Arabidopsis thaliana: one gene and its partners. The protein of the gene in region 1 purifies or fractionates together with the protein of each later gene. This does not show direct contact. Each region holds a gene or a part of one and is shown in the gene's direction. Other genes may lie near its edges. The genes, in order: BBC1, AT1G67430, AT2G20450 and AT1G26880.

Region 1 (7,639 bases):
TATACTAATTTAAAAAATAAATTGTCCCCGCGATATACCGCGGATTAAAATCTAGTTTTAAAGTAATGCTCAAACCCACAAAAAGCTTCTAGGACTTTGCTTAGTGGTTTAATTATGTCATCTGCAAAAATTGACAATATTTAATAAAACAATTTTTGTTTTTAACTTATTAAAATTTAATATTTAAATAACTAATTCAATATTTAAATAACTAATTCAATATTTAAAATTTACATCTAAATATTGTTATGCTTACATATATATTAACTTACATAATTTTAATACCAAAGCAGAGCAACTTGTATGTGTCTTAATATGTAAGTTCTTTTTTTTTTTAATCTGCTCTGTTCTTAACTGATATTCATTTGTAGTTTTTTTTTTTTGCTTCGTAGAGTTACGGATATACGTATTTTTTGGATGAAATCGAATTTGACCGTATTTTGCCATGACCTAAACTACTATATCTAGCAACTTGACCTTCCGAAATGCATCATTTTGCAGTAAAAGTAACGACAAAATTCATGTTCACTTGATAACAAAGTTGATTACTTGACTTAAAATTAAAAATATTAAAATTTTCAAAAAACAATTTTAGTCGTTAATCACTGAAACAAATAACCAAAAATTGTGAAACTCATCAACATTTTCTATAACAGACTTGCTTTCGTATAAAATCAATCCCTTAAAATTAGCATAAACGTATTTTGTTAACAATATTTTAAAACAAAGTTTTTTGTTTAAATAAATATTGTTCTTACTAAACGTTTGTTGTTTAAATAAATAGATCATGTATTTGAACTTATTTACAATGTCATGTTACTAACATTAATTATTTAAGAATAAAAATATTTAATTAAAGATTTAATTCTTCTAAATTCTTGCTTTTAGAGTTATTATATCATTACCTAAAATGCAAAAAATATTAATTTTTAAATATTATTATTTATATATTTAAACTTCATAAAACATTATTAATATTTAAATTTATAAAAAGTTTAATATATCAAAAATATTTAACATCATTATATAATATATAGAGTTTTAAAAAATCTCAAAAAAAAGTTGGTCATATTTTGTGATTCGAAATTTTAAAAATGAACATATATTAACCAATTGGCGAAAAATGTGTGGATACAACGTCCCGGAACGACTAAAATATTTTGACAATGATTCATAAACATATTATAAATAAGATCAACATTAATAAAATAAATAGTTTTTTTTGTGGACGGATTTGGCGGGACGGGTTTGGCAGGACGTTACTTAATAACAATTGTAAACTATAAAATAAAAATATTATATAATTAGATATAATTTACAAAGTTTTATATATATTAATTTTAAAAAATGAATTGTCTCCGCGGTGTACATCTGAAACTCATCAACATTTTCTATAACAGACTTGCTTTCGTCTATCCTAAAACTATGCAACTTTTGTCTTAAGTAAAACCTCTTATGATTCCAAAACATTTGAGAAAACCAATAAGAGATGTTATTTCTTCTCTTAACTGCTTATGCTCTATTCCTCTTGTTCTACCTTTTATTTTCTTTAAATTATCTTTAGAATCTCTTCCTCATACTGTAACCAAGATCCAGCATCCTATCGATAGGTAAAGTTGAGTTTTACACTTGCCAATTGCCAAACATTAGAATAAAAAAGTTCAATAGGTTACTCGGATTCGAACACGAGGTTACATGAATTTGAAGGGCTGGCCTGAGTAGCCAACTCGTTAAGCATCTCACGTCTCTTTCCCAACTTCTCGAGCTCTTCAGATCCGATGGGTTTTGTGGAGAGAGTTGCTTTCTTCAAGCATCTTGCATTCTTAAGGATGTATGTAGCCACTGCTTTCTCATCTTCTCGTTGCCACTCATATCTTGTCCACACAAATGTCTCAAGATGAAACAACAAACATTCAGGAACACATTTGGGTCGACTCCATTCCCAGCCCACCGAACAATCTTCTTTAGGAAACTGATATGGCTGAGAACAATGCAATTAAAATATTTGAAAGTAGAGCTCACTGGAAGAAAAACAAAATTTAGTTGACTAATGAAATGGCTTACATCGACGAGCTTAAGAATTTGTAATTTGGGAGAACTATCGAGCATGAACCAAAGTAGATTCCACCACTCATAGCTATATGCACGAAGCTCCAGCGATAAAAGCTGGTAGAAGATTTTACCAGTAGGATACTTTATCTGTGCATGAGGCAACACAGAACATTAATGTTAGCCCAATTACAGATAAACCCCGTGAAAATCTTAAATCTTAAGTTTACCTTGAAAGGTGCTAAGTGTAAGGAAAGACATTTGGCTGAAGTTAGAGAGTCCATAATGTTCTCATTGGCTATTTCAAAAACGGCACTAATTTTAGCCTCCACTAGCTCTGGCGCCTTCTCAATCAAACAAAACTCAAGACCATTAAACCCGTCGATGTTCAAGTATTTCAAAGAAGGAGCATTTATCACATAGCCTCCAACACCTTCTCCATAGTAATCATCATATATGGTTAGTCTCTGTAATGATGGCACCGCAATAGTATAACTCTCCACATCGGTCGTGCTATGTCTATGCACGACCAAATCTTCAAGACTAGGGCAGCCACATAAAAGGTTGCAAACGGATTCTTCGTCGTTAAATCTCACATGGTAGAGATACAGCTTTCTAAGAGACTTCAAACAAACCAGAGAAGGAAAATCTAAAAGAATGCAATACTTGAGTTCCAAGATTTCAAGTGTATCATTACAACTACACCAAGCACTCGGAAATCTTACAAAGCTTTCCTCCAGCAATGTAATTTTCAGTACAAATTTACGCATATGGCGGGAAAATGCAATTCCAATCAATATCCCAACATCCAAAGCATCATCCTTATCTTCAACTTTCAAATGCAAACTATCTAGAACAGGAGCTTTATGTGAAATCAAAGACCTGAAAACATTATCTGAAAACGTATAATGATAATGATACTTAGAATCAAACTTGAGATTTGGCACCAACTTCCAAAGAGATTTCCATTGTTTAGACAAAACACTAGTGGCAATCACAGTTTCTGTTGGAAGTGACGACAATATGAGCAGAAGCAACGCTTCAGGCAACTCACTGATCCTGTCCTCCTCATTCACTAAACCTCGATTTCTCAAACCTTCACCACCGATTTTGCTGTGAAAAAAAAAGTCAGAAGAAAACAATGAAAGGGATTCCGAGAAAAAACATAGACGAAACAAAGAAACATACCATTTTTGTTCCATTTTCGTTTAACAGAGACATCAATTTTGCTAAAAATCCTTGAGATTACTAACACTTCAACCTCAAATGCAAACGCAGCCGAACACACAGAATCCAGCTAGAGCTTAGATATGATAATGGTGACGAGATTCATCTTCAAAATTATATCCACTTGTGTTTGATTAGTAAAAGAATCACCTAGGCTAGATACAAAACCCTAACAGAATAAAAACAGTGATCAAATCCGAGCCGGATCGTTTTTTTCCAATGAAACCAAAATCCAAACCCAAGACATTTACAAGCCCAAAGAATAAAAATTGATTTTTTTTTTTTCGGCCCACCGGCCCAATAACGAATAGTTAAACTGAGTTTAGGTCTTCACTATTTAAAGCTCGTAAACCCTAGACTTGGATATACTTCAGTCTAGAGCCGCGCAAGAAGACGATTCTCTCTGTGAGTTTTCGCTCCTCTCTACTTGTCGTCTCTCTGATTATCTTCGTTGCTACTGTCTCGTTTTGTGTATAAGTAGGGTTCTTGCTTGTTTTCTCTCATCGTGTGTTCTGCTGCTAGCTCCTGTAGATTTTTCTAAGTTCCTTGTTTTGTTCATTTCGAGTTTTATTGATCTGATATAAATCGTCCGTTGATTTGTTATTTTGTTATGCTTTATTGATTTTGCAGAAAGTATCGTCCTTGGAATGAGTAATATTACACTTTCAGTGATGAAACTTTTCGTTTATTTGATTGGTTTTGATAACATCCTTACTGTATTACGACTGTTAATGTAATGTGCATACAAACTCTCGAAACTTTGATTCTTTAAGAGTTTGAGATTGTCACAAGTCTCACCTTTAGTATAGATTTAATAAGAGTGATCTTTGAAATACTTCAAGATTCGTATCTGTTTTACTCTATTTATGTTCTCTATATCTTTGAGATGGTCTTTTGTTTTTGAAGTTTGAGGTTTTATCATTTGATTTCCTTGAGCTGTTTAAAGTTTCATCATTTGATTTAAAGTGTGTCTGATTGATGTTTTTTGGCAGCTTGAGTTGAAGAAATGAAGCACAACAATGTTATCCCCAATGGTCACTTCAAAAAGCACTGGCAGAATTATGTCAAGACATGGTTCAACCAGCCTGCCAGGAAAACCAGAAGAAGAATTGGTTAGTAGTAGTAATGTCAACACTTCTGATATTGTCATGTTTCGTTTTAAGTTTACACTACAATCTCTTTGGGTCTTATTATGTTATGTTGTACACAGCGAGGCAAAAGAAGGCTGTGAAGATCTTCCCTCGTCCAACTTCTGGACCTCTCCGCCCTGTTGTGCATGGTCAGACTCTTAAGTACAACATGAAGGTCAGAACCGGTAAAGGATTCACTCTTGAAGAGCTCAAGGTTTGTAATTTCTATCTCTCTTTCATTTATTCATATAACTATCAAGTTTCATTTCTTGCTATATATCGATGGGATTGTTGGTTATGATTATTGAACTTAGTTGGTTGGATTATCTATTTGTTTACATATATAGCTATCGTGTTTCATTTCCTGCTGAACATTGTTGTGATTGTTGATTGAAATTGGCTGGATTTTTCTTTACTATCGGTATCATGTTTCATTTCTTGCTGAACATTGATCTGATTGTTTGATTAATATAGGCTGCTGGTATCCCAAAGAAGTTGGCGCCTACAATTGGTATTGCTGTTGACCATCGTCGCAAGAACCGATCTTTGGAGGGTCTTCAAACAAATGTCCAGAGGCTGAAAACCTACAAGACCAAGTTAGTCATTTTCCCGCGTCGTGCCCGCAAGGTCAAGGTAATCATTATAAACAATTGGTCTATGGTTCAGTTGTTTAATGAATTGTTGGATTTGGTACTGATTTCGTACTTGTTCTGTTTTCGTTTGTGTGTTAGGCTGGTGACTCTACACCAGAAGAGTTGGCTAATGCTACCCAAGTTCAAGGAGACTACTTGCCTATTGTACGTGAGAAGCCTACCATGGAACTCGTCAAGCTGACTTCAGAAATGAAGTCTTTCAAGGCTTTTGACAAGATACGCCTTGAGCGCACTAACAAGAGGCATGCCGGAGCTAGAGCCAAGAGAGCCGCAGAGGCTGAGAAAGAAGAGAAGAAGTGAGGTCGTTCTTCTTAGGTAGAAGAAACTTTTATCTTATCAACTTTTGGAACTGAATTTTGTGTATCAGACTGTCTTTTCTTTCATCAGTTTTTATCCTTAAATCTTTGATTTTGCTGCTACCTTGCTTCTCTTGATTTATGGAAAAGACCGTATCTCACATCTCTACTTGCTATAGTTTCCTCTTATTTCGTATGTTTTTTTCTCTATAGTCTAAAAATTTAAGCCTAAATTGACACAATCGAAAAGCATCTCTTTAACCTGCAAAATAGACATAGCAGTTCGTCTGCATTTGAGCAGTTCAACCCGTTATCATCTTCCAACCTTACGCTGTCTTTTGTAATCATGATTCCTTATGGTCACAATTGACGCTTCTGGTTGCTTCCTTTATAACTCTGCAATTTCAAACTTACTAGGGGTAGATTTAACTTCATGTTCATGGTTTGGAGTAATTCTTCCTTGTTGACTTGTGGGATTGGTGCAGCAACCTGAGTAAAGAAACCTTTGTATAGAAGATTGAACATATTGAAGGGGAGTAGCCAACTGCTATTTGCTCATAGTTGAGTGGAGGAGTATCAGGCAGGGGAGGTTGGGAAAGAGATGTCAGAATTCTGAGATTGAGAGTTCTCAACATGTCTATGATGTTTACATCAATATTATTTCATATCTTCCGGATTATTGAAAACCCATCGATCTCTCCTTTGGACAGATAGAAGAGAACACTTTTCCATGAACTGTCTGAAGCTGTTGCACTGAAGGATTGAGAGGTCAGGCAATCAGACTTAAACGACTCTTTTTTTTTTTTTTTTTTTTTTTTTTTTTTTTTTCAAACTCAGACTTGGACGACTATTAGGCTTCATTAGACTCTGTATCACCAAAACCCGATTTTGCAATTCATCCCAAAGCTCATCAGCCATAGACCATAGTAAAGGAAAAGAAGGTTTTCTGATAGAGATTAAGAGTTTGAAAACTTAATCTGAAGTATATAATAAACAACATTTCTCTCGAAACAGTATCAATTACCTTCAAAGTTACAACTTCTCATTATGTCAAAAAAAAAAAAAAAAATGCTAGAAGACAATGTGAACTAAATCGACCAAAAGAAATTAGTTTTTGAATGTATGAGTTTAAAAGTCATGAAAAAGCATAATGGCATCATCAAGTTTAAACATAGTGGAAGAGAGTAACAGCCTCTTGGCTTTGACCTTTTTCAGTCTCTCCTTTAATGGTCCTTCCAGTTTATCTAATGGCAACAACAGCAACTGCCACAAAAGCAATAACAGTTTTTTTAGTATCTGGACCATCTTGAAACACATTTGGGTTAATCGATTTGCAGTGTGACTAACCTCTTTTTCGGCTTCTAACTCATGGGCCAACCTAAGACTCAAGTTAAGGGACGCATGGTACATCTCATCCAACATTTGAGTTGTCACAATCAACTTGTTTACCTTCCACAACAGAAACGGTGTATACATACCCGGAGCTGTGACCGCCAATTTCTACAAAAATGAACAGAAGATAACAACAATGAATCTCGTAACAACCAATTCGTTTTACTTTTGATAATGATTTGGTTTCCAAACTGTGAATACCTGCATATGTAAGTATCCGTCTTTCCACATCTTTAAAAGGAATTGCGGTGTATCTTTCTTTTCAGTCAGCGCGGCATCAGCAATCTTACAGAGAGAAAAAAATGATGAAGTTAAGAAATCATTATGACTTAAGATGTTTCTATATGAATCATAAAGAACAGTCATTAACCTTATCGGTCTCAACAAAACGCCCTTCCTGTGATAAGTATCTGAACATTCTGAAAGCTTCTTTCCCATATCTTCTCATCACTACTGCCTCTATCTGGAAACATCTCAAAGATACCGTTTTTAGTTTCAGAAATATATCAAGAAAAGAAAAATATGAAACGCACCTCATCTTTCTGTGCTACGCTGATAATGGATTTATAATCTGCAAAACCAAATAACAAAATAATATTATTTTGAATACAAGAATCATTTGACTAGATTTTGAATGGAGTTACTATACCAACTATGTATGAATCATTCACTTCGTTCACAAATGCTGGTAGATAAGAAGACGTAGCACTCAATTGGTCAAGGCATGCTTCAACTCGCTCTTGTAACATAGTGCGACCTGCTTCTGTCTTAATAACTTCTTCATAAATGGAACCAACTGACATTGGAGCTGTTTCAAAGATTATAGCAAATTCAGTTAACAGAACTTCATAGGTGGACTTTTGGTGGAGAGTGCAAAATAATTCACACCAAA
Region 2 (7,591 bases), on another chromosome or scaffold:
TGTTGTGATTGCAAGTCTGGCTTTCACTGTGGAGATGTTTATTGTACATTATTTTGGTTTGCAGGATTTTATCTAGCAGATGTAGCAGTAGCTGCAGTCATTGGAATCGTCACCGGCTTGTGTTTGGGTCCAATAATACCAATTTGTGATCGTTGGCTGGCCAAGTCGTCGATCTTGAAATTCTTGCTTCACTTCACTGTAGTCATGTTGGCGGTATCATCACAGTTCTTTCCTTATAGCAAAGATGCACCAAAGAGAGTTGTACTCCAACACACATTCATCTCTACTGGTAGCGTTTTCTCACACGATATGGAACTGTTTTCGCCTTTCGGAGTAATCTTCGTCTGCTGAAATGAAGTAAATGTTTAATGTGCCTGTTGCAGGTGGAAATGAAATCACAGGCTCAAGTTATGATTTAGCTGTCATTGATTCAAATTCTATGGAGTTCATTTTTAAGCATGCTCCGGAGGTGGCAAAGGAACTTCATGTTGGCCCTTCTTTTTCATTGGGAAACGCTGAAGCGTCTCCTCAAGAAGCTTGGATGGTACGTTCATTAGATTCGTTTCTATGTACATGCTATTGGTAAGATAGCAAGTGTTTTCAGTTTTGAAGTAAAGAATTGTTTGGTATCTGCAGGCACTTTTCCCTATTTCATGTGTATTAACAACAAACGGGAGGTTCCCTGCTAAAGCCAACAATATTTTAGAACGATATAGCCAATTCCCACTCCTACAAGCGCATAAACCGCAAACAACATTTGAAAATGGAACTCGCAGAGTTCATCTGGAGCTCTCTCTGGGGTTAGTTGGACTCCATAAAGAACTTCTATTGGTCTTGTTGGTTATTAACTATTCCATTTGCAGGTCGTTGGAGGAGATTTGGGTCACGGTTTTGAACATAACCGGACCGTTATCAGGGTGGTCCTTTGCCGATGGCAAACCTCCAGGTGACACACACAGAACCTCTTTTTCGTTCTCTTAAAGCATTTACTAAAAACCGTAAAACCAAAATGACTAATCGTTGTTGCAGCACCTGAACTCCCACCGGGTGGTCCTCCCTCGTACATATTGAGACTGAGTGGCAACAGCGATGAGAAGTGGAACTTCTGGTTAGAGGCAAGTAGTGAAGAAGAAGTGAGAGTAGATGTAGCTGTTCTTGATCAACGTCTTGATGAAGAAACTATACATTTGAAGGGTCTTTTCCCAAAATGGTCCGATGTCATTGCCTACACTAGTTTTCTTTCTACTTACTTGTTCTGATCGTAGACTATTTCATATTCTCCTTTTGATATTTCTAAAACATTAGAGAATAAATAAATCCGTTCTTAACATGGGAAAGTTTTTTTTTTTTTGACATCGGAACCGCATACTCTATTTATACCTAAATCATACTAACATGAGCAAGTCTTAAGTACATTTTCTTTGTTGATATAGTAATTGTGTACATTTACTTGGTTCTTTGATAATTTATAATCTTATACTTTGATTGGTGCAACTATAGTCTTATATCCTTAATTTAACTTTATCCTTAATTTAACTTCATGATCAAAAGATATAGTCTTGTTTTTTGTTTTGTTGAGAAGTTTCATTAGCATTATTGTCTACCGAGAGTAATACCACAAATTGATAGTTTCTCTGCATTTTTAAGAGAATAAGCTAAATAACGGACCTAAATACAAGTGGTCCTTACAATTGCAATTTGCAAATGAAAAAATTTAAAAGAGTAAGCTAAACAACCGTACTGACCTAAATAACAAACACATGAAAAACCACATAAATAACAAACACATGAAAAACCAATAGAAGTGTCTGTTACAATTACAAAGTCCACGTACATGCCACGAGGTAATGAATAAGTCTAATTGCAACAAAATAAATAATATTGTTTCATATAAATAATTTTTCAAAATATTGTTTTTATTTTTTTCGTTATCTTTTGGACTCAAATATGTGACAAGAGTAAGACTCTATAAACGACAGCTATTTTATCGTGGTGCGCCATCAAATAATGTGTCCTATCATTTCTAAGTTGAGCCACGAAGGTCAACGTTTCCGATGCATACCACCAAAACTCCTCCCTCGTGGTGCACCATCAAATAATCGTCAATCCACTCGTTAATATGTGTGATGATACGCTTATCAGCGATATCAGTAGATGTTGAATCAACTCTTCAGGTTTCAATGATATCGATAGTATACTTAGCTAGTTTCTCCCCCATGAAATCGATAGAGCTTCCTCCCAAGGTATTCAAGATCTTATTGGCTTCTACATATGAAGCAATCATTACTCATGTAGCAAACTTGTTAATCTTCTATATTTTCATTACATATAATATTTTACGTACAAGTAAGTCAAATGACATGACATGACATATGATATAACTGAGTAAGTAAGAAATTACGTATAACAATTAAGTCAAATGACATAGTAACCATTCGTGATTGTTGTCTCATATTTATATATATAAAACAAAAAATGAAGTTTTAAGCAAATGATCTACAACTAAAACAACATACTCCACCAATATATACAAAATACGTACACTTTTTTTTGATAAGTAAGTAGAATTCTATTGAACCTGATGAGAGTTGAGCATAACTCTATTCTTAGACCCGAAAACTACTCACCATGTTTATTTTAGAGATTTAATGATGGATTGGACAGTTTTTAGGCCATATTACATAGTAACAACTAATTTCAACTAAAAGAATGCAAGTTGGTTAGTTTAATACAAAACAAAATAGTGAAAATTGGATCTCTAGCTCATTTTCCGATTAATTAACTTATTTTCAAAAAAATTGTGGTTATAAGAACGAATTAATCAATTGCATTTCTTATAAAAAAAAGTAATGAAGAGAGATTTTACTTACATAAAATAAATACATCTGGCCTGATGAAACAAAAATGAGTAAGGATATCAACCTTTGTAATAAGTAATTGTTAATTACCAATTCATAGTCTTGATGGGCATTATTAGAAAGCCCATTAAAAATGGACAAGGCCCATTTAAACCTAGGTTTCGCAGGGTTTATTGCTTCACTCTTATATAAAAACTCTCGTCTTCACAAATCTCACATCTCTTCTGCAGCCGATTCTTCTATTAGCCGCCATGGTAATTGCTTAATTGCTTAAGCTTCTCAAACTCCATCTCTCTTCTCGCTGATTTGACCTAGAAATCTTCTTCCCTAATTTTCTTTACCCTGTCTTTGCTGATTTCGCAGGTGAAGTACTCGCAAGAACCCGACAATCAGACCAAGTGTAAGTAAAGCTCCTTGTATCAACTTCTTAGTACCATTTCGTTGTTTTGATCTTTGTGGTAATCCTTTGGTTTTGATTTTGCAGCTTGCAAGGCTAGAGGATCCGATCTTAGGGTTCACTTCAAGGTATGTATAGCTCTGTCAATTGTCATTTTGATTATTCGATGTAGTTAGATTTATGATTAGGAGATTGTAGTTTTAGGTTAAACCTGATTGAGAAAAAGCAGAGTTCTGTTGCAATTTGACAGATCTCACGTATACTTCAGGGAAATTGAATTGGTCATCGTGATTGGGTGAATCTATGTTTATATATCTCATAACTATAAGATTCAGTACATGATGGTACATTGATTTATCATTTCACTTTTTGAGGCTTGTTTATTTTTAGGGCTTTTGGTTAATCGCTTAGTATTGCTTTGTTATTGTTCTTATGTGAACCTATGTAGAATTTTAGTGACTTGTTGTTTTGGTTAGTGATTCCACATAATTAATACTGTGTTTTTGAATTTGTTGGTTGGTTCTTATTGTGTTTTGTTTTCTTCGGATTGTGTGAAACAGAATACTAGGGAAACAGCGCACGCAATCAGGAAGCTACCATTGATCAAGGCGAAGAGGTACCTTGAGGATGTGATAGCTCACAAGCAAGCAATTCCCTTCACACGTTTCTGCAGAGGTGTTGGGAGAACTGCTCAAGCTAAGAACAGGCACTCTAATGGTCAAGGACGTTGGCCAGCCAAGTCTGCTCAGTTTGTTCTTGATTTGCTCAAGAACGCTGAGAGCAATGCTGAGGTGAGACGAGCATTCATTTAATTAAGGAAACTTTTTCTTGTTTCTCTCTGTACCCTTTTGCTAATAAGCATATTTTGACTTTGAATGTTCAGGTGAAAGGTTTGGATGTTGATGCCCTCTTCATATCACACATCCAAGTGAACCAGGCCGCAAAGCAAAGGAGAAGGACTTACCGTGCTCACGGAAGAATCAACCGTAAGTTTGAGATTTTGTAAATCACTTACATTGATAGCTTTTTGTAATCCATTGTATGACTCAGTTTGTCTTTCTTGGTTGCAGCTTACATGTCCAACCCATGCCACATTGAGTTGATTTTGTCAGAGAAGGAAGAGCCTGTCAAAAAAGAGGTAATATATATTTCATCTCATTGGAAAAATTCAGGACTAGTGTTAATAACAACAGTGTTCTCATTTCGTATTTGTTTTTGATAATTGTAGCCGGAGACTCAGTTGGCTGCCAAGTCCAAGAAATCAGCAGCTTAAGCTTTCTTTCTTTATTTTCATGTCCCTTGTGTTCTTGAACGAGATTTTGTTCTCTTTTTTCTTTAGCTCGAATCGTTTTGTAAGACAATGGATAGATTTATCTTGGAAATTTTCGTTCTATGACTTATGAAATCAGTGATCATGGTTCTGCAAGTTTTGGTTAGTTCGATAGTTCGATTAGTCAATAATTCAGACAAACAAAAGAGCTGAGAACTTAAAAAGATCTGTACAATCTTTTACATCATGTGACTTAGTTATAGTGGAAACTTGAGTTCTCTCATTGTCTTTTATTCTCATTCTCAATGGCTTGGACGATTGGGTCGTTCTCTATGTACAAATCACTGTCTTCATCTTCGAACTCATCCAGCTCACTGATCATTGTCTGTTTCGTTTTCTTCCTTGACTCTCTCCTATGCTTCTTAGGCATTAACCGTGGTTCAGCATGTTTCACACCCATGTCTCCCACCTTGTACCTGTGTCAAGTATCATTCCAAAGTAAACAACATTAGTGACTGCGACCAATCTCAATCTAAAAATAAAGCTGTTCTTTCAGGAGAAATCCCAACAATACCTAACATCATCTTCCCTTTTGGTTCCAAAAGTCCTAAGCTGAAATTCTTCCCTGATTCTGATCTCATCAAGCAATTGTAAGTAGTAAGGATACCTTTCCCAGTCACCTTTCACAACACATCCTGGTTCCCCAATATGCAAGCAGTCTCTGAATCCACATTTTTCGCTCTCAATCATGTTCCGTATCTAAAAGAAACAATTAAAAAGTAACACATCGTCACAGTCAGCCAATAAGGGAGATTGGCACAAGCAAAAGGGTACAAAGAACAAACCTCAGGAAAACAGTGAGCTAGTGAATGCTTCGTTACTTTCAGCAAACTAGGCTGGTTAAAGCCAGGAGTATCAGCGAGGTAACCACCTTCAGAAACCGGCAGTAGCGATACATTTCGTGTTGTATGTTTACCTCTACCACTTCTACTCGAAACTTCCCCTACTCGCTGATCATCAAACCACTTATTACCTAACATCTGAATATCACAAAAGCTCAACTCATAAGAATCTGGCAAACAAAACTTAAGCTGTAAAATGAAATAACACAAAAGAACCTTACAGGCTCAAACCAATTCTCATCTTCCACCACACCACCACCATGATTACTCCTCAATACGTTGATTAAACTCGACTTTCCAACACCACTAGGTCCAACAATCACAGAAGTCTGATCTCTCAGAACAAACGCAATATCATCAAGTCCATCTTTAGTTCCCACACTACAAAACAATGGTTCATAGTTCCATCCACGCAACCTTATCTTCCAAGTTTCCAATTCCTGTAAACAAGTTTATGATTCTAATCAATCCCTAAACCAACAAAGTGATCTAAAATACAATTTCTTCATCCTCCTTACCTCTTCACTAATGAGTTCAGTTTTATTCAAAGCAAGTGTTAATGGAATACGAGTAGATTCAGCTTCCACCAAGAACCTAGTAAGAGTAAACGGCTCAAGTTTCGGTTGATCCAAAGAGAAAAGAACAAGCAAATGATCAACGTTCGCAACAGGTGGATCCAAAATCTCCGAACGTCGATGAAACACATTCTCAATCATTCCTCTTCTATCAACCCAATCAATAGATCCAACAAGAACCTTATCTCCAACTAAAACTCTCCTTCGTATTTTCTTCAACACAGCTCTCACCACACAAAGCAATTCAACACCAGTCTTTGAAGAATCATTATCATCATCACTCGTCACAGAATTAGCTACATCTTGAACAATGACGCGCATAAAGTTCGCTTGAGCTGTTGCGACAGTACCAATAGCTTGAGACTCTAAGAGCGAAGGTTTATGCTCCGGCGAGAGAACTGGTGACAAGGAGGAGGAGTAATTTTTACCGATGTGCTTCGCTCTGAGCATATTTTTGCTCGGTTGGGGTTTTCTGGAGACATCGGGATTATCTCGTCTTGCTGAGAGAGGAGAAAAGCTGCGAAGGAATTTGAATCTAACTCCAACTCCGCCGTGAAAAATCGCGGTGTGACGGAGGAACGGAGAAGAGTGACGGAGGAGTGAAATTGAAAATGTCTGCATAAGCAAATTCTAGAAGAATAGAAAACTGTGTAGTGAGGAAGAGAGCAGTGAATTATGAAGAAGATTTAAAGTGATGGGCCTTTTGTGATAAGTGTTATGGGCCCAAAATTAGGGCCCATCTATTGCATATATAATCGACCGTAAATGTGTGTGGGAAGGTGTAAGTAAGTTTGAGATATTTTTCCAAGTCTTTCATTGATTTGATGGCTTATTAATATTGACATTGATGATGACTGATGATTAAAAAGAACAAATCTGCTCTTATTAATCATTTCATCTTTAATAAGTCTGCAAATGAAAGGCATCTGTACAATTAATCTGTTACACAATATAAGGCTTCCTAGAAGATTAATCCATATTATGCTGTGAACAATCTCAGAATAAATCTTAAAAGTGTGGAAAAGACGTGATAGTTCAACCCTAATTTTTCATTTGAAAAAATGACGATGATGATGTCTGATCTTCCGAATGATTTGGTAGAAGAGATTTTGTCTAGGGTTCCGATAACATCTCTAGGAGCAGTGAGATCTACTTGCAAACGATGGAACGGTTTATCCAAAGATCGTATTGTATGTAAAGGAGATGCAAATCAACAGTTTACAGGGTTCACGAGATATGTGAACGAATCTACGGTTTGTTCAATGAGACTTGATCTTAATGAAATCCAAAATGAAGACGTTGAACTAGTTGAGCTCTCTATAAATAAGATAAATAAATTTATTGAACTTGAGTTATTTCAAGTTTATTACAGCGATGGCTTGTTGTTATTGGTAACTGATGAGGTAGATTCCAAGATCGTGGTTTGGAATCCGTATTTGGGACAAACCAGGTTGATCCAATGCAGAGATACTGAGCATTTCAAATATAGGTATGCTCTCGGATACGACAACAACCGTAACCACAAAATCTTGATGTATAATAGGAAAAATTGTGAAATCTACGATTTTAAATCTGATTCATGGAAGGTT
Region 3 (7,571 bases), on another chromosome or scaffold:
TTCAATGTATGTAGAGAATGTGTTAATTAAACTCTTAAATTAATTTAGAAAATGGTACAAAAACATGAATTTTCTTTTATTCTCACACATAGATCACATAAATTAATAAATGTGTGAATTATATGCTGTAACACAATTTTTTTTGACGAAAATATTCTCTCAATTTTTGTATGTCTCTATGTCATTTGCTATTAGCAAATAAAAATATTAATTTACTTTAATTAAAAAATAATCATTATATACATTTAACGATTTTTCTTAAGATTATACATTCATGCAAAACAGAAAAATGTGAAAAAGAAATATCACCAAGAGTCAAATAATGTAAGGAGAGGTTAGTGGCCCGTACGTAGTTCATTCGTATAACTGAAAAACGGCACACATTTTACCACAAAATACATAGAACATCAGAAAATGAACAAATTAAAAAAAAAAAAAAAAATTATTCAGCAGAGGATTCTCATCAATCTCCTTCCAGAACCTTTCAAGAAAATTTCTGGCCGGCAATGAACAATCTTCTGATCAAAAACTGTATTAGTATATGTTTGATATATAAAGTCGTCGAGTAGAAGTTTTGAGCAAATCTTTATTGCTTATTACTATTAGCCTGCAAGAAACACACAACAACACCATCTGCATTAGTATAACTGTATATCATATTATATCTTCCCCAAGTTATAGTGATAGTGAAAGAAACCTTTTTCAGGAATTTTTCATGGATCTTCAACGCTTCTTTACATGCTTTTTTGGCGTCAAGATTACCCGCAATGTCTCCTAGTATCTGCATACCAACTTTAACTTTGAAGTTCCAGAGTTTGATTTTTCCTTGTTTGGCTTTGAGAGAAACGAGTGAAAAGATACAGAGACAGACCTGAACAACATCGTCTAAGCCTTTGGCCTCCTTCAAGAGACGTTTGTTCTTTGTCTGTAGAACGCTTGCGACCACAAAAACAGCAAGCGTGTTGCGATGTTGCTCGTTCTGCCCACTGTTTATGTATTTCCTTTCAAACTTGCCATACCGTTTTAGTAACTTGGGATCGGATGCTGCGTTGTTTCGGTTTTCTAGTTCCTCGTACGTTGCAAACATGGTTGGATTGTACTCCATCGCCCACATCAGCTGCAACCATAATCCATCTCACATTATTCTCATTACCCAAACAGCAGATAACGCAAAAAAGAAGAAGATAATAAACACACAGCAAGATCTTACGGCTTCATAAACAATCACGGCAAGTAAAACCAGGAACCAAGAAAAGAAATGCAGAAAGTTTGTCATTACCTCCCAAAGGTACAAAGCGTCAAGGAAAGAGAATTCTCTCCTGAAAAGTACCATCAGCATCCGAATAGCAAATAGATACTCCCCACCATCGAGATCCTCTGTCACATTAACACGTTTTAGCCCACCACAAGAAGAGTTTTTATGATAGGAAAACACTCTTACCTAGATGTTGATGGAGACGAGGATCCACTGTCTTAATGACCTGTGAGAGCACACCCAGTTGAGTCTGGACACCCATTGATGTTGCTGTTGCCCTGAAATTTTCTCTCTGAAATTCAAAGAAAACAATAAACCGTGAATACAATGGTCTGGTAATGACATGAAACATGAGAAGTTATGTCATAGGCTATTAGTTATTACTAGTCTCCGCATTGCCCGCTCAAAGCACCAGAAAGCGTCGCCTTCATCATCAAAGAGGATTATCATTGGGGAACATATATCATTCATTCCTACATGAATAGACAAAGTGGATCAGTTCTGTTTCTTATATAGTTTCAAAAGATTAATCGTTAACAGCAAGTACACTTACCCTGAACATAACCAATATCAAGATTCAACCACGTATATATGGCAAGAACGTCCCATAGTTTTGATTGATTACGATCATTCTCATAAAAACAGAGATACCGATCTGTTCTAGCAACATCAAGGCCTGAAACAAAATATACAAGAATATGTAAAAAGAGGTTATAAGAAGATAATCAGATAGAACTAAACTTATTTATATGTAAAGGCATACCGATCTGGTGTAGTGAGAGCATCCATTGTAGCACTCTCTCATCTGTAACAGTGTTTTTCACGATCCATCCTTGGTTTTCTACAGAAGATTCGTCTATTGGGTTCCCATTTTCTTGAACGACTGCCATTGTGACGTACTTGCCACTACCAATGACAGGAACCATTTTCTTACATTCTTCTTTCCATGCACCGTACTGCTCCCTTAGATGATCAATAACATTTAAAGTTAGCCATGACGTGCATCTACAAAACTAGTAAATGATCAACCAATTCTATAGTACCTTCTGCGATTCCTCAGTATGTTCCTTTCCTCAAAAGTGCTGTCTGGATCGTAGCATCCTAACAAAAACTCCCAAACAGCGCCTTTGATGGAAGGATGAATTCCCTAGCAAAGAAACCAAGTGAACAACAACAAAAAGAGCATATAGATAGAAACAAGATCAGGAAAAGAAAGTAGACTCACTCCGCGCTGTATACGTCTAAGCACTTTTTCCATATCCAAATGGCCATCTTCAGTAAAGGCAGCGTGCCATCTTCTAGCACTTAGAGTCTTTCCAGCCTGACAAATTACATATCAAGATGAATCATTTCATCAGCTACAAACAAACAAACAAGAACCTAATGTATCATCAATTCATCAAGACATGAAACAGGTGATTGAGAAGAAGAATGGTACCCTTGATTTAAAACGGGTCCTGGGAACATCTGGTTGACATTCAGGTCTAACTGGATAGAAACCTTGCAAATCTTCTCCTCCGGATTTCCACATAAATCCGCAGCAAAACATTCAACCTTCCTTCTTCTTGTTCAAACCAAACTTATAGTTTCATCCATCTCCCACATAAATCATTCATGGATTCATCAGACCACTGTTCAAGAAATAAAACCCAGGATCAGAATGGAGAAAAAATGAAAACTTTACAAATATGTAAACGAAAACACAAGGAAGATATATTCTTTTTGCAACGACGAAGCTCCCATTGCTCAATAATATATATAACCTTAAAATCAGTATCAGAACACCATCATCATTATCATTTGGATAATCCAGAAACCGATTAGACCCAACAATTTGAAATTGTCTACAGAGAGAATACGAACAAAAGAAAAATACATACAGATTGAGATCCTAAACAGCCGGAATCTTCAGAGACATGCCCGTCTTCTTCTTCCATCTTTCATCTTTCATCTTTCTATTTCTAGCAGAGTACTTTCCTTTTTAACCGAACCAAGCCGATTTTATTAGCTCCGATTTCAAACATTAAACCGATCGGTTTCGGTATTCTTAAACGACGTCATGTAATCTCTCCACATTTAATGGGCCTTTAAAATTGTTAGTGGGCTTCTATATGCTTATGTGCCTAATTCTTTTATATCAAAAACCCTAATAATCTCTTGGGCACATAAAAATCTCTTCGCCGCACAATTGCTCCAATCTGTTTCTTCTAGCCGGCCAAAATGGTGAGCGATGTTCTTCGCTTGATTCCATGTATTTTAGTGTTTCTGAAAACTTTAAAGATTCTGCTATTGCCCTAGCTGCTTCTCTTTGGAATTTGTTATCTTTACAGATTTATATAGTTTTTAACCTCGAGAACTTTGTGTTTGATTGTGAAGGGTTTTAAGAGATTCGTGGAGATTGGGAGAGTGGCGCTCGTTAACTACGGCGAGGATTATGGAAAGCTCGTGGTTATCGTCGATGTAGTCGACCAAAACAGGGTAACTTGATATGCAAGCTCTGTTTTTTTTTTCGATTTGGTATTGTAATCAATGTAACTATCTTCTTATTGCTCACTGAAATATATATTGATACAATAGTTATGATGCTAGGAGTAGAATTTGTATGCTTAGTTTAATACTTGTGGTTTTGGCTGAAGCTAGGAGTCTTTGAAATGGTTTATGTTTTGTCTAAAGTGTTTCTGTTTATCTTGTCCTTTTTAGGCACTTGTGGATGCCCCTGACATGGAGAGAATCCAGATGAATTTGAAGAGGTTGTCTCTTACTGACATCGTCATTGATATCAACAGAGTTCCCAAGAAGAAGGTTTTGATTGAGGCAATGGAGAAGGCTGGTGAGTTTGTTGTAGCATACTTTTGATTATTCGTAGGTTTTATTGGCCTTTTTTTGTTGTTGGTTGGGTTGGGTCATCTTAGCTCTAAAGTTATATGCAGATGTGAAGAACAAGTGGGAGAAGAGTTCATGGGGTAGGAAACTTATTGTGCAGAAGAGAAGAGCTGCCCTCAATGATTTTGACAGGTTCAAGATCATGTTGGCCAAAATCAAGGTTGGTTTACTTCTTTGTATCCACCAATGTTGTTTTAGTCAACTCTACTTTGTGCAAATGCAGATGAGTTTTCACTGCTTCATTTGCCCTCACTTTCGGTTGTGGTTTAGAAATAATACTATCTAAACTTTAAACTGTATCTACTACTACTACATTCACCATCTTCTTGGGTTTATGATCTTTGGTTTGATACTGGTTTGTTTTGGATTGTATTAAGACGCATCTTAGTGTTATTGAATAACCTCTAATATATGAATATTGTTTTGCAGAGGGCTGGTATTGTGAGGCAGGAGCTTGCTAAGCTAAAAAGGGAGATCGCTGCTTGATTTCTTAATTATGATCCATTACCAAATCTTATTTTTGCAACTGTTTTTTTAGTGCAAATTATGACAAGTTGAGTTTTTTTTAGTGCAAATTATGATATCAATTTTGCTGATTCCGGGCTACTAAATAGTGAATTTTTTTTGCTATCGGATATTATTATTTTAGTTTAGTTTTTCTTTCTAAAGTCTTGGTCTGATTGGTCTGGTCATCTTTTTAAACCACCTATGAACTTCGATCTTTAGTAGATGCAGTTTTTTCTTCTTCGTTTAGTTCGCATATCTTCAAAAATCTTACAACCAAGTAGAATCTTAGCTGCTGAATATTTGGACATTTGCTTACTTTAGAGGCCAAATTGTTACGTGATGTTGCTGTTGCTATGAGGAGAACGAAATTCTCTGAATTGAAGAAAAACGATACATATTTATAGATATTGTTGTGTTGTTGTGTCGCCGGTTAACAGACGCATGTTTTGTCGAAGCAAGGTCAGAACCCCAATTCAGATGAGCCAACTTCTTCTTTTATGGGATTTGGGCCAGAGTTTAGGTTTGTTGTTACTGGGACTGACGAGCTTAGGAAAATCCCTAATAGATATGGGCCTTATTCTGATCTCCTTGTTTTTGGACTAGTGTTTATTTCCCAAGGTGTATTGGGCCTGATGAGACCAACAAAATTCTTAATGGAGATGGCCCAGCTTCTGCTTTCCTGGTTTGTGGGCCAGTTTTAGTGACCCTGCCAATTATAACATGAAACAGATGTTATAATGGAAATTTGCATTTATAACATACAAAAATATTACAATTAGGTAACTAACCAAAATAAATAGTCCAATGATATTGTGTGTATTTCCTATATTTTAGACATAAGTGACCTTAAGATAAAACCAATCAACTCGCCGGTACCGATTACAACGTCGTCACCACCACAAAGTCACCACCACCATCACCACCACCATCACCGCCATCATCATCACCGCCATCGTAATCACCTTTCACGATGAAGAAACGATGAGAGAGAGTTTGTTATAGAAAGGGAAAGTTTTATTCATCTTAATAATAATGTGTACAATTGTTTCTCTTATATACACGTATGGTATAATAACTAAACCAAGCTAAACCGACTAATTACATAGAACCGGTTATTTACACCTAGCTACTCTATTAGTCCCCCTCAAGATGAGAATACAAAGATGTTTTGGATACTCATCTTGGACAATAAATGAGCAAATTGATAAGGGAAGAGTGGTTTAGTAAGGATATCAGCAACCTGATCTTTAGTCTTGACATGAAGCAGCTTCAACTGACCATTATCCAGCTTCTCACGAACGGTGTGACAATCGATTTCGATGTGTTTCGTTCGTTCGTGAAACACTGGGTTAGTGGCTATATACACAGCGGCGGTACTGTCAGAGTATAAAATAGGCACACCTGAATGAACACGCAAAGCCAATAACAGTGTAGACAGCCACGCCATTTCACAAGAAGCCAAAGCCAATGCTCGATACTCTGCCTCTGCAGACGACCGTGAGACAGTAGGCTGTTTCTTGGAGCGCCAGGATATCAGAGAGGAACCAACAAACATAGTGAAACCTGTGGTTGATCGACGACTATCTGGGCAAGTACCCCAATCCGCATCAGTATAGCCTTTTAAAGTCAGATCATCCTCAGCAGAATAAAACAGACCTTGACCCACTGTACCTTTAATGTATTGTAAGACTTTGTAGACAGCTGCAAGATGTGCAGTACGAGGAGCAGAAGAGAACTGACATAACTTGTTCACCGCAAATGTGATATCAGGGCGAGTTATGGTCAGATACATCAACTTGCCAACAAGTCTTCGATACATTTCTTTGTCCTCCAAGAGTAGACCATCATTCTTAGATAATCTAATATTCGGAGTCATAGGTATGGAGGATGGTTTACAGTCCAACATATCTGCAGAAGTGAGCAATTCTAAAGCATACTTCCTTTGAGATAGGGAAATACCTTCAGAAGTGCGAGCAACCTCTAAACCCAAGAAATACTTCAGTGGACCAAGTTCCCTCAGCTTAAAGCTAGCTTTTAAAGCCTCTGTCAACGACTGTGCTGCTTGTTCTGTAGTACTCGCAATCACTATGTCATCAACATAAACTAAGAGGACAATGAACTCAGAACCAATACAGCGAACAAAGAGAGTATGATCACCATGCTGTTTTTCGAAACCCAGAGCCAACAGAGAGTTAGAAAACTTCAAAAACCATTGACGAGATGCCTGTTTAAGACCATAAATGGACTTCTTCAAACGACAAACAACATTAGGTGGCAGAGAAGTTCCCTTAATATCTGCATAACCATCAGGCAGCTTCATATATATGGTTTCCTCTAAATCTCCATTGAGAAAAGCATTAGATATATCCAGCTGATTCAAATACCACTTCTTAGAAGCTGAAACTTTCAAAAGTAACTTTACTGTGGCCATCTTAGCAACAGGAGAGAAAGTCTCAGTGTAATCCAAACCTTCCTTCTGAGTATAACCCTTAGCAACAATTCTGGCCTTGAATCTTTCCAAACTGCCATCTGCGTGAAACTTCACTGTAAATACCCACTTACATCCAACTGCCTTCTTCCCAGGAGGTAAACTTGTAATCTCCCAAGTATCAGTCCTTTCCATTGCACCAATTTCCTGATCAATAGCACCACACCATTCTTTGGAATCCTTTGCCTCATGATAAGATTGAGGGATTGGAATTTTGGAAATGTTATTGATGTATAACATATGAGATGGTGAGATTTGAGAGTAAGAAAGAGAAGATGAAATAGGATGTGAGTCATCTTTATTGACAAAATAACAGTGATAGTCTTGGAGATGAGCAGGGAATTTAGTAATCCTACGTTTAGAAATTTGTGTTGATGGAGAAATTTGTGGTGATGGAAGATGAGAAGTGATGGAATTACCTGAGGACAAAGGATCCAT
Region 4 (7,261 bases), on another chromosome or scaffold:
CCTTGATTTAGACTTGCATTTAATCACAGCTTTGATAGGGATGTACGGCAAAACTGGGGGTATCAGTTCAGCACGCAGGATCTTTGATTGCGCCATTCGAAAGGATGTTGTTACATGGAACTGTATGATAGACCAATATGCCAAAACGGGTCTCCTTGAAGAGTGTGTATGGCTACTGAGGCAGATGAAGTATGAAAAAATGAAACCGAATTCATCTACATTTGTTGGGCTGTTGTCTTCCTGTGCGTACAGTGAAGCAGCATTCGTAGGACGTACTGTTGCTGATCTATTGGAAGAGGAAAGAATAGCTTTGGATGCAATACTTGGAACTGCACTCGTTGATATGTATGCAAAAGTAGGATTGCTTGAAAAAGCTGTTGAGATTTTCAATAGAATGAAGGATAAGGATGTAAAGTCCTGGACCGCGATGATCTCGGGTTATGGAGCTCATGGACTAGCAAGAGAAGCAGTAACACTATTCAATAAGATGGAGGAAGAGAACTGCAAAGTGAGACCCAATGAGATTACCTTCTTGGTTGTGCTGAATGCTTGTAGCCATGGAGGGTTGGTAATGGAAGGAATCAGATGCTTTAAGAGGATGGTTGAGGCTTACAGCTTCACGCCCAAAGTTGAACATTATGGTTGTGTGGTTGATCTTTTAGGTCGAGCGGGGCAGTTAGAGGAAGCGTATGAGTTAATAAGGAACTTACCGATCACAAGTGATTCAACGGCTTGGCGTGCTCTGCTAGCTGCTTGTAGAGTATACGGGAATGCAGATTTGGGGGAAAGTGTGATGATGAGATTGGCTGAAATGGGTGAGACTCATCCGGCAGATGCAATTCTTCTAGCTGGGACACACGCTGTTGCAGGGAACCCAGAAAAATCATTAGATAATGAGTTGAATAAAGGGAGAAAAGAAGCTGGATACAGCGCCATTGAAATAGAATAGAGTAGACAATCTCTGGCGTTCATTCACCTCTGACCTTTTTGTTGAAAACTATATCAGCAAAATGTTGTTCAATAAGGTAAACCCCTGTATTTACTCTTTCTTTATGCTTTAAAACAGTAACTTATGTATAAAGAAAGGAGACAATTGATCTTAATGAAACAGTTTTGATGGATTGTGAAAAATCTATTTGACGGGCTCTAAACATTCTTTCCCCTTTTCACCACCCAAGCACTTCTCTGTTTGTCCTTCTGTTAATTGTTTCTGGCTGCAAAAGAATCATCTAGGTTTTGTTTCCTACTTACGTGAACAAGCTCACTCAATTGTTAATAACATGATGGTTGTTGCTGGCTTTGGGCATGATGGATCATAATCTTAGACAGTCAGTATGTGGCTACTCAATTGTTGTCATGATGCTGTTAAAAAAGAAAGAAAGAATATATATGAAACTCTATTGGTTGAACTCATAACCTAATAGTTCAAGTGAATGAAATCATGAAATGATAGCGTACCTAGTTAAACATATTCATTTTATGGGAGGAGGTTAGAAGTTGAGATGATGTTGAGTTCCTAGGCATAGATTCTAACTCCATTTGTGTCTCTTCAAGATTGCAGGTTGCTAAGAGAAAGATCGCCACTCTCTTTAAACACTTTGAGTTAGCGAGAATGTATGTCATTAGTTATTTCTCATCTTCTCTTCCTCCATAGCCTCCCCACCTAAAGATCTGTAAATGAGACAACAAGCATTCGGGAATAGTAGAAGAACTCGGCTGGTTCCATGAAGGTGGGAGACACGTAGAATCCTGATATCAATACATTTGCTATAATGTTAAGTTCATCTATAAACTAGATGCACTTGTGTTTAAGGGGAGGAGGATGGTATACTTACAGTGTCAATCGTAAGAATTTGTAGTTTAGGAGAATTTTGAAGCAAATACATAAGTGGTTCCAACCAATCTACCAAATTGCTTGGAACAAAATAAAACTCCAAGAGCCGAGAGAACTTGATGGTGTTACACCACGCAACCTGTGATTAAAAAAAAATATAACATTAGTTGGCTAAGCAACAAGGAAAAGAAGAGGATCGGAGATATGTAATCGGTACCATTGGCTTGGTCAAATACAAGTACATATGTATGACAGAAGAAAGAGATCTCAGAAACTTGTGATCGGGGTTATGAACATAGCCGAGTTTTGCTATATGAAGGCAAGAAATATTCTCTATCAAGCAATAGTCCAAAACGTTACGTAAGCGTAAAATTTCTAATGCAGGGGAATCTATTACCAAGGATCTATTGAGATCATCATCATCATCCTCCTCTACCTCACCTACGTCAACTTCCTCAACCACACCTTCCTCATCATCCTCTACCTCATCTACATCATCATCATCCTCTACCTCATTTTCCTCTACCACGTCTTCCTCATCCTCTACCCCATCCTTCCGCCGAGTAGTATTATAATGTAACTGTTTCAAGGTAGATACTTTCACGGTAAATTTTGTCAAGTTGTCATCCTTATGTCGATCCACCTTCAGGCAGTTGAGAACAGGGGAGCTTGATAAAAGGCTAACAAGAGATTCTTCGTCTTTGTACACCACAAAGCGAAGACTCAGAGTTAAGAGAGATGGTAGGCGAACAGGGGAAGAAACGTTCACTAGAATCTTGTTGGATAGACTTAAATCAACGAGCGTGTTGCATGTGTAAAGGCACTTAGGAAATCCTGTGGGTTCTGCGGTCCAGAGGAGATTGAAATCTAACTCTTTCACACCTCTATTAACTACGTTCTCAACCCACTTTCCGACATCTACGTCAACAGGACAATGTGGACCGAGTTCCACAACCAAACTATCTAGTTTCGGTGCCTTATGGAGTTGCAATGACTTTTCAATAAACCACCCCACGCTCTCGCTGTCATCTTCTTTGAATTCGAGTCTAGGCACCATCGGCCAGACATAACGCCATCGTTTAGACAAGATTGAAGTGGCGACTGCCTCTTTTGTTGGGACGTGATGCAAGATCTGCAAGAGCAAATCGTTAGGAAAAGCACAGATTCTAGTTTCGTTTATCTGACAACTTTCGGTTTCTGGAACAGTTGATATATGCTCATCGTCGTGTATAATATCCCAAAAAAAAGACCAACAACTTAAGCAACCCATAGATGTGGCCATGTGGGATACCGGATACCTAGCTAGACGCCAATGGAACTTTTTTCTCGTCGCTGGCTGTGACACAAAAGTGAGTCTATATTATAAAGCTTTTTTTCAAAAAAAAACAATTATTATACAAATATTTATTATTTGTTCAAAGAAAAAAAAAAAAAAATATATATATATATATATATATATATTATTAATGCATATAAAAAAAGAAACTAAATTAAAGTTGCCCAATTTTTAAAGTAAAACTGCAATATAGACACACATAAAATATATCAATCGATTCTCATTCTTACATAATTGTTAGTTTTTTCCCTTAAAAATCTAATCATCAAACCAAACAAAATTGTTGAAAATCCAAATTTTCTAGCCTGGTCCTTATATTTCCATTTGTTATTTTGGATGAATTTATTTTCCAATTCCCAATTTTGCCGCCAACCTTGATTAATTTCTCTACTTGGCTTGCTCTAATTGCTTGCACCACGCCCTTGTAAATGTATCGATTATGTTTTTACGTGCCATGAATTTAAATTTTTTGTTGTTACACTATTTGATAAAATAAATTGAATGTGTTTTGACTAAACGGATTATAATACTAATTAATCTTTTTAAAGTTCTACGTATAATTTAATGCATCTATGATTTCTTAAAAAATCAAAATAAAAATTGGTAATAATGTTTCTAGTTTCTGTTCACTACAACATACAAACGATACTTATTCTAATTGCAGCTAATAATAGAATTGGTTTTTACAAGTTGAATTTTTTTTAATTATTTGTACATGGGCCTTTAACTGGAGCATAATTAAAGACCAAAATGAGAAAAGGCCCATATAGTTGTAGTCTTAGTTTAGGTTTGGAGTCTCACCCTTATATTCTTCGTTCCAAACGAAAACCCTAAAAGAGAAAAGGAGGCGAAAATGGTGCAGCGTCTTGTTTACCGGTCGCGACACAGCTACGCCACCAAATCGAACCAGCACCGTATCGTCAAGACTCCAGGTCCCTTTCTTCTTCTTCTTCTTCTTCCTTGATATCTTCAATCTCCTCTGCTTTAGTCTCATAATTCTCTAATCACCGATCTGTTCTTCATAGTGTAATGTGTGTTGGGATTGTTGATTTCAGGAGGTAAATTGGTGTATCAAACCACAAAGAAGAGAGCTAGTGGCCCCAAATGTCCTGTTACTGGCAAGCGTATTCAAGGAGTAAGTCTTCTGATTTCGATTTGGCTTCGTGTGATTTGGTTTACATGGTTCTTGTATCTAGAGTCTTGATTTGAGGTCTAGATAGAGTTAAGAGTTTGAATTTTTTAGGAATTTGATGGCTATGTATAACCAAATCAATCAGATTGAGTGTTTTAGAATGTTTTGAGTATTGATCAGTCTCATTTTTAATGGGCATGTCTTCTTATTTCAAGAAACCATGTTACTTAGTTAATAGTATTGTGCTTATTGACGGTCTTGTGCTGATTAGATAAATCCCACATCAGTACATAACATAAATCATAAGCTAAATTGTCGGTGCCACTTTGTCTTTCAAGTTGTTCCTTGTATTACATAAGGATTTGCTATCCACCTTTGGCATAAATTTTCAGTTTATTCCCAACTATATATGTTTGATTATGCAATGGCATATTCCTTTTGCATTATGTGAATAACTTTGTTTGTTTATTCAGATCCCTCACTTGAGGCCCTCTGAGTACAAGAGGTCAAGATTATCAAGAAACAGGAGGACTGTAAACCGAGCATACGGTGGAGTCTTGTCTGGTTCTGCAGTCAGGGAAAGGTTTGTTGTCCATCTTACTTGAGTCATCTTTCTATTACAATAAATTTGGTGTTCTTTAACGTAATGTTGTTTTTGGATTCCGACAGGATCATTCGGGCATTCCTTGTCGAAGAGCAAAAGATTGTGAAGAAAGTGTTGAAACTCCAAAAGGCTAAGGAGAAAGTAGCCCCCAAGGCTTAAGCTTTTATGTTTTATTCTTCTCTGTTTTGGAATTATGGCTATGTTCAAGTGATAGGACTTGGTGCAGTCATGTGAGGACATCTATGTTACTCGACCAATTTTTAAGCTTTGTATTCTGTTATCAGTTCTTAACTTTGTCGACAATTCTCTTCTCTTCAGTTTTGGAATTGTTGAATTCATCTTTAATGTTCTATTGTTGATGCATATCACATAAGCTGTTGTGATTACCTTCTTGGTTAATATAATATTTCTGAATCTCTCGGAGGCTAAATCAAGCTTGCACTTTAATGTTCTCAGCGTCATGACACAACTATGGAATAGCAATTTTGAGTCTTAAATCTTAACTATGCTTCAATTTTTGGGAATTCTACAACGACAGTCTCGTATGCGATTAATGAAGTCAGCTCCAGAAATAATATACTTACTGGTCTTTATTTTGAATATAGTAAAACTCGATTCAGTTTTTCTCTTGTTCATCTTGACTTACCTCATGCCTTCTTCATTAAAGCAAAGTTGCTTGTGAAAAATAAAAACTCAAGGAAGCATAATTAATAAACGATTTAATTTAGTGAAAGAGAAAGCCTACAAAGAGGAAATACCCTAGCTTGAAAAAAGCAAGCCAAGAAGGCAGAGATGGGAAAATCTATCCACATACATCAGGTTGTACTGGAGAAACAAGCTGGCAAATCGCTATTGATGGACGATAAAGAAGAATAATAACTCTCCAGCAATGTCATGTTCTGTTTCAGGTCTTGATGATGACGATGGTTCTCATTAATTGTTGAAGTGAAATCATCAAACCGAAGTGTGTCGCAATGATCACCAAGATGATCTTCATTGGAACCACGCATGTTCTTCATTATACCATTTCCTTCGAATCCCGTCTCTTGATACTCCTGTGGTAGGCTTACAAGCGGGGGACATTGCTCTTGGGCCAACACTGCGCTGAGGTCGATATGGCTCGTGAATTCTCCCAAGAAGGTCGAATCTGAAGACGTGTTTAGCAGAAACGATGGGATTTCATTTGACGAGGGGAGCCTGGGAAACTGAGGTTGTGTTTCTTGTGTGGCAAGAAAGAGATTTGTGAGGTATTGTTGGTCTAAACATGAAACCGGATTGAAAACGTTGGTGGGTTTGTCGTATGAAGTGAAATCCAAGTAAGAGAAGGGACTTATAGTGGGAACGGATGGAGTTGTACTATTACTAGTTTTGGGAGTGTTCATATTCTCATGGTGAAACTGGAAGTGAGAGCTAGGTTTGAGGATCTTGTCTGAAGAAAAATGGTATGTGTTTGATTGCTTTTGGTTAGACATTGTGTCGGTGCTTGTTTCTGGTGGTAACGAGGAAACAAAAGAGTGAGAGAGAGCTCTTAGGGTCGTTGTGTTGGTCTTTTTGAAGATTCTGCATATAGCCCATGAATCCTGCAGTGGTCCATATCATTCAAAATGTTAATAACAAATGAGTTTAATTTATAGAAAATAGAAGTCCACTAATTTCAAAATAATATTTGCACTTTGTTTATTTAATTATTTTATATTTTACTTTTGAGAAATTGTTTGAATAAACATACTTATTAAAAGAAAGATTAGTAGTACAAAAAGAAAAAAACACACACACACACAATAATTTAAGATTTAAACTTAATATCAAAGAAACATAAAAGGAGTACCTAAAATACATATATTAAAATCTCTCGCATTTAATATTTGTCAAATATGTCTTCTACCAAAAACTTAAGACTTTATTTTGCTTTCTCAGACCTAAAGATAGATATACAAAACAATTAAATCAATAAATTTCTCATTTAACTCGTTCAAACTCACTACTTTACAACACAAAAATGCACCATGTTCGAGATATGTATTTACTCTTCAAAAACTTCTAACCAAATCTTGCGATCTTAATAACTAATAATAGCTTAACTTGTCGTCCGATCCGGATAACTTCCAATCCTATTTTCTTTGTTAATAAACAATACCTAAGAAAAAATTACTGAGAGAATATGAGCTTACGTTGGGAGAGACAGGAGAGTCGAAGAATCTCTTAGAAGGAGGAGATGGTTCGGAGAGAGAAGGCAAACGAAACTCATGCATCATCCAATCAGTCTTAACTCCTTTCGCTGCTCTTCCTTTGTAGAACACTAAGGACTTCTTTAAACCTATGCATTTGTTTCCTTCTGACGAGTATATCGGCCGG

The links.
Region 2: the proteins of BBC1 (region 1) and AT1G67430 fractionate together in Arabidopsis thaliana (co-fractionation; one large-scale study listed by BioGRID). This does not show direct contact.
Region 3: the proteins of BBC1 (region 1) and AT2G20450 fractionate together in Arabidopsis thaliana (co-fractionation; one large-scale study listed by BioGRID). This does not show direct contact.
Region 4: the proteins of BBC1 (region 1) and AT1G26880 fractionate together in Arabidopsis thaliana (co-fractionation; one large-scale study listed by BioGRID). This does not show direct contact.

What each region holds. Positions count from the first base shown.
Region 1 is NC_003074.8:18,164,691-18,172,329, reverse strand, and holds BBC1 (breast basic conserved 1), read left to right. Parts: upstream 1-3,629; 5' UTR 3,630-3,681; exon of another isoform or gene 3,682-4,268; 5' UTR 4,269-4,282; coding exon 4,283-4,388; intron 4,389-4,486; coding exon 4,487-4,620; intron 4,621-4,880; coding exon 4,881-5,039; intron 5,040-5,137; coding exon 5,138-5,359; 3' UTR 5,360-5,622; downstream 5,623-7,639. Other genes in the region: AT3G49020 (FBD, F-box and Leucine Rich Repeat domains containing protein), read right to left, coding at 1,670-1,981, 2,065-2,199, 2,280-3,162, 3,238-3,251; AT3G49000 (RNA polymerase III subunit RPC82 family protein), read right to left, coding at 6,484-6,618, 6,703-6,855, 6,949-7,032, 7,118-7,210, 7,281-7,318, 7,397-7,555.
Region 2 is NC_003070.9:25,259,100-25,266,690, forward strand, and holds AT1G67430 (Ribosomal protein L22p/L17e family protein), read left to right. Parts: upstream 1-3,034; 5' UTR 3,035-3,109; coding exon 3,110-3,112; intron 3,113-3,221; coding exon 3,222-3,258; intron 3,259-3,342; coding exon 3,343-3,383; intron 3,384-3,474; exon of another isoform or gene 3,475-3,607; intron 3,608-3,815; coding exon 3,816-4,046; intron 4,047-4,138; coding exon 4,139-4,241; intron 4,242-4,325; coding exon 4,326-4,393; intron 4,394-4,483; coding exon 4,484-4,528; 3' UTR 4,529-4,758; downstream 4,759-7,591. Other genes in the region: AT1G67420 (Zn-dependent exopeptidases superfamily protein), read left to right, coding at 65-289, 384-544, 637-946, 1,030-1,259; emb1688 (Minichromosome maintenance (MCM2/3/5) family protein), read right to left, coding at 4,806-5,001, 5,100-5,284, 5,371-5,565, 5,649-5,867, 5,946-6,623; AT1G67450 (F-box and associated interaction domains-containing protein), read left to right, coding at 7,064-7,591.
Region 3 is NC_003071.7:8,810,448-8,818,018, forward strand, and holds AT2G20450 (Ribosomal protein L14), read left to right. Parts: upstream 1-3,384; 5' UTR 3,385-3,475; coding exon 3,476-3,478; intron 3,479-3,631; coding exon 3,632-3,733; intron 3,734-3,955; coding exon 3,956-4,085; intron 4,086-4,185; coding exon 4,186-4,298; intron 4,299-4,567; coding exon 4,568-4,624; 3' UTR 4,625-4,932; downstream 4,933-7,571. Other genes in the region: AT2G20440 (Ypt/Rab-GAP domain of gyp1p superfamily protein), read right to left, coding at 587-607, 698-781, 872-1,117, 1,280-1,377, 1,442-1,547, 1,640-1,728, 1,809-1,931, 2,019-2,218 and 3 more.
Region 4 is NC_003070.9:9,313,444-9,320,704, reverse strand, and holds AT1G26880 (Ribosomal protein L34e superfamily protein), read left to right. Parts: upstream 1-3,824; 5' UTR 3,825-4,023; coding exon 4,024-4,102; intron 4,103-4,225; coding exon 4,226-4,305; intron 4,306-4,543; exon of another isoform or gene 4,544-4,690; intron 4,691-4,775; coding exon 4,776-4,885; coding exon of another isoform or gene 4,886-4,907; exon of another isoform or gene 4,908-4,971; coding exon 4,972-5,065; 3' UTR 5,066-5,400; downstream 5,401-7,261. Other genes in the region: AT1G26900 (Pentatricopeptide repeat (PPR) superfamily protein), read left to right, coding at 1-949; AT1G26890 (FBD, F-box and Leucine Rich Repeat domains containing protein), read right to left, coding at 1,627-1,749, 1,836-1,973, 2,052-2,261, 2,328-3,116; FEZ (NAC (No Apical Meristem) domain transcriptional regulator superfamily protein), read right to left, coding at 5,722-6,486, 7,078-7,261.